Rattus norvegicus: one gene and its partner. The protein of the gene in region 1 binds, or shares a complex with, the protein of each later gene. Links are inferred from orthologs where the notes say so. Each region holds a gene or a part of one and is shown on either strand. Other genes may lie near its edges.

What was found. The genes of interacting proteins can lie anywhere in the genome.
Region 2: the proteins of Phf2 (region 1) and Vrk1 are in contact, whole or in part, in a crystal structure (PDB 8F8Y), measured with the Homo sapiens proteins. The link is inferred for Rattus norvegicus from reciprocal best matches to the Homo sapiens genes PHF2 and VRK1. Residues at the interface, in NP_005383.3 of Homo sapiens: Tyr7, Tyr14, Val16, Thr17, Arg18, Phe19, Met20, Ile21, Glu22, Trp29, Glu39, Ala42, Ile45, Asp46, Tyr48, Lys64, Tyr145, Ser147, Glu150, Lys175, Val178, Asp179, Tyr182, Ser183, Thr184; in NP_003375.1 of Homo sapiens: Pro2, Arg3, Val4, Lys5, Ala6, Ala7, Gln8.

The regions. Positions count from the first base shown.
Region 1 is NC_086035.1:15,987,972-15,992,464, reverse strand, and holds the start of Phf2 (lysine-specific demethylase PHF2), read right to left. Parts: upstream 2,872-4,493; 5' UTR 2,758-2,871; coding exon 2,660-2,757; intron 1-2,659. UniProt on the Homo sapiens protein: Lysine demethylase that demethylates both histones and non-histone proteins. Enzymatically inactive by itself, and becomes active following phosphorylation by PKA: forms a complex with ARID5B and mediates demethylation of methylated ARID5B.
Region 2 is NC_086024.1:130,678,211-130,682,504, reverse strand, and holds the start of Vrk1 (serine/threonine-protein kinase VRK1), read right to left. Parts: upstream 2,975-4,294; 5' UTR 2,685-2,974; exon of another isoform or gene 2,568-2,684; intron 1-2,567. UniProt on the Homo sapiens protein: Serine/threonine kinase involved in the regulation of key cellular processes including the cell cycle, nuclear condensation, transcription regulation, and DNA damage response.

The DNA.
Region 1 (4,493 bases):
GAGGGAAATCTGGCTAAAGAAGTTTGAGTAAAGGGTGGCGCTCAGTCCCGAGTATTGAGCCAAAGTTCTCGCCTTATTTTCAAAGCTGGCACAGCCAACTAAGTAACTTAGAAGTGGAGTGGAAGGTATGTGTAGCCAAACTCAATCCTTCTGTTATTGGTGTTTTGGTATTTTTTTTAATTACTTTTAAATTTGATTTTGGAGGGGAGCTCATGCCATGGTTTACATGGGTAGGTCAGAGGGCATCTTGCATCTAGCATGTGGGTCCTAGGATTAGAACTAGGCTAGTCAGCAAGCCTTTATCTGCTGAGCCACCTCACCAGCCTTTGTTACTACTTTTGAGACAGGGTCTCATATACCCAAGGCTGACCTCGAACTTGATGTATATCCAAGGATGGCCTTGAACTCTTGATATTCCTGCCTTCAACCTTCCCGGTGCTTAGATTATACACATGCTCTACTACTCCTGGGGATACCATTTAAAAAACTTCTTCAGTAAGCCTTGTTTCCTCAAGATCAAAAGTGTAAAATCATACCAGCTGTTCAAACGTGTGCTAAGATGTAAACTCTGAGGGAATTAATAATCCAGGTGCTACATAGCTCTGAGGAGAACCATTGGGGTCTTCCAGGAATAACTGGAGGGGGAGACACACAGGGAGCTGACCACACGCCTTCCACTCATGAACAAGAGAGACTTGAGAGGGGCCCACGGATCTGTTCCAGACTACAGGAGCAGGAAGAGGCCCAGGCCTTTCCCTCCCTGCCTCGCTTAGGCCCCAACCCTTGACCCTGCACAAAGCTAGCCAGAGCTCTGGACCCATGAAGAGGCACCACTCAGGGTGCACTTGAGCATAAGAAAACACCTGCCGTGAGTGATCCCTTTTACTGCCCAGAGCCCCAAATACGTGTAAATGCATCTGTGCTAATCAACTGCCTGTCTCAGATCAAAGCAAAATCCTCAGAGAAATAGTAAGGTGACTGACTAGACCTCCAATAACAAAGCAAACAATAAACAACAAACCTCTTCCAGTGTCAAGACTGGTCAATCATCTCATCCCCCCTCCTTTCTCTGCCTCAGCAGCAGCCCAGCTGACAGGTACCCAGGGGTGCTATAGGTCTTGGATTGAGAGAGGAAGAAGAGGTGCCACCACTCTTGGGGTTACTCAAGTCCAGATTCCCAGCGTTTCTGGGTTTGGAGAGACTTCCAGGCTCTACCCACTGTAATCTGGCCACAAACCTCTCGGATATGGAAGCCAGTTGGTCACTGTTTATAGTGGCCCTGCTTGGAGCAGAGCCCAGGGGTCACACAGCTCTGAGTGCTCTCCACAGTTCTAGATATTTGAGGGAGGCAACACAGGATACTCTAGAGATTCCAGTGAGCCATAAACGACCACCCCTCGTAAGGCCAGCCAGGTTGCCCTACAAGAGTGAACCTCTGTCCCAGGGCCTACAGATGTGAGGCGGCCCATCACATCCTGACTACCTAGCTCCCCACACTTAAAGATGACTAGACCAGAGACCACAGCTCCCTTTCAAGACACCCTAAAGATCCTGGATGTGAGATAACAGAAGGGTCTTCTCTCTAGAAGGAAGGACAGGGACCATGTAGAACCATACACTCTTCTCTCCCTCCAGCCTGCTACTAGCTGCTAAAAACTCACACCCAGGGGACAGGCAGACCTGTCCAGCTTCAGGCCAGCCCTCTTGAGGCCCAAGCACATCCCACAGGCAAAGTCAAACACAAGAGAACCTGTTGGAGCAGTTTAAGCAGGATGATCACCTCTTTCTCCTCCTCTTACTTCTAAGTAGGAAGGGACTTAGGCTCTTAAAAAGTAGTCACAAGGCCAGGTCATGGCCACCGGCAAGGGCCCAAAGGGCGGGTTTAGTATCGCCTAAGCTTACCTCTTTCCCTCCTCCCCGTCTTCCTTAAAGAGCATAAGGTCATGTCAAAACTGGGGTGTCTCTGCCTGAAGCAGGGAGGAGGGAAATGGGGAGCTGAGCAGGCCAGGAAATAGGCGGCCAAGCCACAACACCCCCACCCCAACACACAGACACTCACATCGGTCTGTCACTGCACTCCCGCCTAGGCCCGCAGGCCGGCCCGAGCCAGTAGGCACGCGGGGTCCCCGGAGGGGTCCTGCCCGCCAGGACAAGGTCCCAGGGAGGTTCCCGGGCTCTGGCAGACACTGGGGGCATTGGCCGCTACCTAGCTACCGTCCTACCCGGTCCACCCTAGCCCTGCCAGCTCCGGAGCCCGCCAGTCGCGCCTCTCGGGGGACCCGCGCCGGGCCGCGCGCCCGCCTCTCCCGGCCCGGCCGCCCCGAGCCCGCGCGGGGAAAGTTCCTGCAACTTCGCAGGGGGCTGGCGGCGGGGGCCCGGGGCCTGGGCCTCGTCCTGCTCCCGGCCTCCGCGGCCACTGCGGCCCCGCTGTCAGACGACCGGGTCCCAGCCCCAACGCGGCCGGAGCCCCAACTTCCCCGCGCCCCTCGCCCGCCCCGGCCGCGGGCCTCGCTTTGTGCGCGGCGGCCGTACGCCCCCGCCCTGGGCACAAAAGGGCGCGCGGCCCGGCGGCCGAACGCGGCTGCGGTGCCTGGCGGGGCCCGGGGCGCGCGGCTGGGGCGCGGGGCTCGGTGGGCCGGGCGGGCCGCGGCGCGCTCACCTGCCGTGGAACCAGTCCTTGCAGGCATCGCACTCGATCATGAAGCGGGTAACGTCGTAGGGCAGCCGGCAGACGCAGTACACGGGCACCGTCGCCATGTTGCCGCGCCGCCGCTCGCCCCGCCGCTGCGCTGCCCGGGTCGGGCCGGGCCGGGCCGGGGGCCGCGCGGCGAGGGCGGCGGGGGCGGCGGGCGCGGGCGCCGCGGCCGGAGCGGACGGGGCCGGGGGCGCTCGGCAGGGCCCGCGCGCGCGCTCGCGGCCGGGCGCGTCCACACAATGCCGGCGCGGGCTGCTGGGGCCGCGCCGGGAGCCGCCCGCCGGGCCGCGGGGCGCAGGGCTGAGAGTGCGCGGGGGGCCCTGCCGCGCGCGGGACACAAAGCGAATGGACGCGCGGGGGTGGCGGGCGGGGAGCCGCGGCCCCACCGAAGGGACCCCCGGCCGCCGAGCGGCCGCTACGTCAGCGCCCCGGGTGGCGCCGCCTCCGCCCGCCGGCCTGGGCCCCGCTCCTGCCGCCGGGAAGGCGGGCCGCGGTAGAAGGTGGGCCGCGCGCGGGCCTGGGGGAGCCAGCAGCTGGGCCCGGGGGGAACCCCGCGGGAGAGGATGGCCCCGGGACGCCAAGAGAGACCAGCCGCGGAGCCCCCTGCCCCGGACTACGTGAACACAACCCGAACAACCCTGCCTTAGCCAGAAGCAACTCCTTGGCCTTAACTTTCTTCTGACCCCGAAGTGGGATGGACAGGGGGATCTTCCTCCTCTTCCTGGGCCCGAGAGCCTCACTCCCATCCCGAACTGAGACCGAGTTACTGGCTCTTGAACAGCCTCCCCTTCCCCTTCTTTCTAGCTGGGGCTGCCTTGCTTCCTAGCGCGATCCGGTGAACTTTCCCGGTGCTCCGGCAAAAGTCAGGGGAACTATTGTAGGACACAGCTTACCTGGCATTGCTGCAGCCCAGGACCCCTTATTACAACCCATAGACACCCCCCCCCCCGACCTTAGGAGCGGAGGACAGTTCAATGACTCCAACTGAGCCACAAGACTATGGGGGAAGACAGGGGTTATGTTGTTGCTCTCACCCCTGCAGTCTTGCCCTGAACTGGCTCTCTGGTCTCACCTATCCTGCCTAGGGCTTTTTTGTTTATTGATCAGTGGGATATGAGTGAGGGTCCTTCTCTGTTCCCTACCCAGGTCGTTCCTGATGAGCAGGTCCACATATTTAGTAAGAAACCTGTCTGCTAGATTTGCTACCCCTCTGCCTATCCTCACACAACACGTGGAGATGCTAGTCTCTGCAGGTAAATTCCAGAGTTTCAAAAGACCTCTGCTTACCTTGACAAGGCAGAGTCCTAGTCATCCCTGCCCAGAGTGCAGCTGCCAATCAGGTCCCTTGCTGGCAACTCAGGGGACAGCCTGTTATTGAGCCAGGATCTGCCCTCACCCTTCCCAAACAGGTGAACCCAGGGCCACAAATCAGGACCTGACCCAGGGCAAACTGTGTAAGCAAAGAGTACACATGTGGAATGGGAGACAGGAAAACGACCTCGGAAACTGGGGACAGGCAGGGTACCCCATCAAACTATACACAATGAACTGCCTGCCCGAATTCCAGCTGTCACCTTGGGTCTCCTCTGTACTGGGTGGGTCTTCCTGTGACAAGGCAAGGAATAGCTATTAATTCCCTGTCCCTGCACAGCATGAGCACCCTTCTGGTGGAGCAGGCACCACCCTGTTACCTAAGGCACTCTTCCCAAGAGGTGGTGCAGTTGTCATTTAGCGGAAGTAAAAAGACCCGAAGCTCAGAGCAGCTAAGTGCAGAAGGGAAGTAGCCTGCCAAGGGTGG
Region 2 (4,294 bases), on another chromosome or scaffold:
AAATTCCACATGCCACACAGTCCCTCTGATGTCTGAGCTGTCTAAACAGCTGCTACTTAGTAACACAAGATCCTCTCACTTGAAGGGAAAATATGACTCACAACATCCCAAGCCCACAAACCACTGCACCTGAAGTTCTTACGTTTATTAAAGAACGGCAGTAAAATGTCCTTCCTATAGTTAGATCCATTTATTGCCTACTCTGAGGTCAGGACATACCTCATCCCTCCCCAGGCTCTGAAGAGCTTCTCTTAAAGCACAGGCCTAGCCAGGTGAGGCATGCATCTCCCCACCACCACACCATGCACACATCACTGGCCACTTGTAAATCAGGAGACTGCAGCGTGCTCCAGCCAACCTAGTGAGTTCTAGGGCAGCCCCAGACCACACGCCAAGACCCTGTCTCAAAACTAAAGTTAATAAAGATCACGTACTACATGTGTGCCCCCAAAGGGCTGACACACTTGGGTTTGAGAACAAAGGTTGCAGGCGATGTTTAGAAATACAAGTTACTTCAGTGTAGCAACCTGTGGACACAGGGCTTGGACTCCATTTTCAGAGGGAATATTAAAAGACACTGGCTGGCCTTATGACTTTATAATGACAACTGCAAAGGCAGTTAAAGAAATATGGGCCAAAAGTTTCACCACTGAGCTAACGGCTTGGCTGCTGTAGTTACCACCTTCTAAACTCATCTCACATCCTTACTGCTTCAACCAAACAGTAGGATAGCAAGGGTTGGTTTTGCACTTAGCAAGTGCCACGTGGTCTCGGGTCTCAGGTAGCTCTCATGATCATCAGTCTGTGTCCTCCTGTATTTAAATAGAACCTGGACAGCCCAGCAGTGGTGGTACGCACCTTTAACCCCAGCACTTGGGAGGCAGAGGCAGGCAGATCTTGTGTGAGTTCGAGGCCAACCTGGTCTACAGAGTGAGATCCAGGACAGCTAGGGCTAATAATGAAACCATCTCAAAAACAAAATAAAACAAAAAACAAACAAAACCCTTGACAAGCATGCAAAATGCCCGACCTGTCTAAAACATGCTTGAGGCCATCCCGTTAAATCCATTGAGGACCCTCGCAAATCATCTTCCTCCACAGCCTCACCTCATTCTAGCAGGCTCACTGCCTGATACCTTAGGATGTGAGCCTTTGCTCGTTTGCATAAAAGCTCTGGGAGTCACACTTCTGCATTTGATTGCAAGATAAATCCTACTTTCAAATGCGTTTCTTTTTTTAATAAAAAATATTTTAAGGTTCTATTTTTCCAAATCAAATCCTTTTCATAGTATGTCTACTATGGATGCCCTGGGGGGGGGGGGGTGTCTGAAAATTTATATCTTTGTCTTTTCTAGACACCTGGGACATTCACTCATTATTATTTTACGTTAGTTCTCAAAGTTAAGGGAAGTTGGCCTATTTCCTGTAAGAAATTTAACTTTAGGGTCTGTCAACATTTGACATGCACTGCCGCTATTTTTAAGATACAAGCATGCATACTTGAGTAAGACTCTGCCTAAGCTTTCTATATAGCCACTGCCGGGCGCTCGATAATTTATAAGATGCCAGGCTCCCTGCTTGACACACTCTACCGTCACACTTGTTTAACAAACGCTTGTCTTTTCTGCCACACCAGGCATGAGCAGCAGCCATTGCAGTTGTCAAAGTGCATCTGTACTGGACACCAGTGCTGTACCAAAGGCCTAACACCTAACACACGCTTAGTATTCGGCTCAACCCATGCCACTGTGAGCACGGTCTCCGTCAGCGACGCTGAGTTGCAGTATCTGCCATTGGTGGTAGCACAACAGGGAAAGCCATTAGTTAAGTGATGTCAGCTTACATTCCTTTCCACAGGGAGATCAACATTATCTTAGCCACCCAGATACTTAATTCCAATCATAATTGTAAATTAAATTTCCCCAAACATTATGATCGGAGTATCACAAAAAAGGGAGAAGCCCTTCTCCTGAACTCTTAAGACTGGGGATGGTGGCCCAAGCCTTTAGTCCCAGAACTCAGCTGGCAGAGGCAGGCAGATCTCTTGTGAGTTCAAAGCCAGCCTGGTCTACAGAGCAAGTTCCAGGACAGCCAAGGCTACACAGAAAGGAAAAAAAAAAATCCAAAATAATAATGATGATAAAGTTCTGATCTACATTTTTTTCACTGTTTTGAATTCCACATTCAACAGATGGGCAATTCTAGGGTTGGGGGGGGGAGTGCCGGGAGGGCCGATTGGGGACTTTTTGTTTTTTGGTTGGTTTTTTTTTTTTTTTTAAGGGAAAGCAACGACGCTCTTCAACGATTCCCTAGGTTTAACCACCACCTTCCCAATGGCAAAATCGTGTTTCCAAATTACTCCAAGAGCAATGGGGGACAGAAAGGAATAATACAGGCAGAGACTTAAAGAATGGTTAACGTCAACGATAAGACAATGGGGGGGGGGGGATGGGTAACCGGATAAGGACTAGCTTGTGTCCCCAGCTCTCAAAGACTCTGGCGCACTTTTACACCTAGGCTGTGTGAACTGGAAACGGTCTAAAACAAACTTGGGCGCTGGAGCAAACCTGCTTGCCTCTGAAGACACTGCAACAGGAGACAGGTCACCGGCGGTGGAGACCTGTGGAGCAAGGCCAGGGAGGAAACGAGAAGCTAGCGGCCGCGGGTGTGCCCCGAGGCCTCACCTCACCGCTGCTAAGGAAGAGGCAAGCTCGGCCGGTCCAGATTCCTGTCCCGGTGTCCGCCACCTGGCCCTGTCCAGGCTTCGGGCGGCCTTCTAGAACCGGGCTTCCGGCAGCTCCGCGAGCGGGCAGAGAGGCGAGGGTTCCCGGGCTGACCCGACCCAGCAGCCGCGCCGCCTGACACCCGGATGAGCAGGCGCCTCTCTGATGCGTCGCTGTACCCACCGTCCCGCCGCCACCTCAGGGCTCCCTACCCAGAGCGGCCAACTCGCCGTCCCACAGCGTAGTACGAACTTCCCGCCGCTTTCTAGACTTGCGACTTGCCCACGGCGCTGTCCCCTCTGCACCTCGTAGTACAGAGCCTTCCCATTGGCTGCGAGCGGCGGGGAAGGCGGGGCGAGAGAAAGGCCGCGCTTCTCTGTCACCGCGGTGAGCATGCCGGGAGTTGTGGTCCTTGTGCTTGCTTCATGCTGGGAATTGTAGTCTTTGGACCTCTAAGAAGAGGGGCGTGTTCCTCTGAGCCCGAGGGCTTCTGGGAAGTGTGGTTTGCAGCCCGCTTGCTGTTTTACCAGCTACTGGCTCTCAAAGCCGTAAAAACCGAAATAAATATAACCAGTACTCACTGTTGCTTATTTATTAAACGGATAGACAAAAAGAGAGTCATTTCAAATACCCGAAGCATGTCTCGGTGTTTACCTAACCCGCCGCAGTGTTTAGGCTGCTGTTCTCTAACGTCAGTTTGCTTTGTTTCACTGTCTCCTTCCTAGAGGCTGGAAGCATGGACTTCAGGCTGCACTTTGGATCTGCGGCTTCTGAAATCCTGGGAAAGGCCTTGGGTTTGGCGCTGTTCTTGTTTATTGCTATTGCTTTACCAATTAAAATTTTTGTTCTTTTTGTTGTTGTTGTTGTTTGTTTTGTTTTGAAGACACGATCTCACTATGTAACTCTAGCTCTCCAGGAACTCCCGGGATAGACCAGGCTGGCCTGAAATTCATAGAGATCCACCTGCCTCAGACTCCCAACAGCTGAGTTAAAAGTGTGTGCTACCACTCCTGGCCTGTGTTGTTTCTTAAGGTGGATCCTAAAACACTGTATGAACTTTAGTCCCTACAAAATCTGAGTTATCGTCCAGTGTGCAATTTAACATTGATCTTCATATCTTGAATTCGCCATCCCAGGTACCTATACTAACTCCCGTTTCTTTCCTATTTTGCTGTCTGCCCCATATAGCAGCCCCACAAAACAACTGCACCGCATGTCCCACAGCTCCCAGGCTTCTGTTGGGTTTGATCCACGGGGGACCCTAGAATGAAAGAAAAAAGGAAAATCAGCTAAAGAAGGTGTTTCCTCTGATTTCTTCCCAGCAAACACGAAAGCTCGCGTTCTCTCTCTCTCTCTCTCTCTCTCTCTCTCTCTCTCTCTCTCTCTCGCACACACACACACACACACACACACACACACACACACACACACACGCAGGTAAGTCCCTTTACTGAAGGTGACTTCAACTGGGCTTCCCGTACACACCGAAAGCAGCGTACCATGGTGATTGTGTTAAGGCTGGAGCTGGTAACATAGTGGCTGCCCCTGAGCCACAAGCTACAGCTCCATCC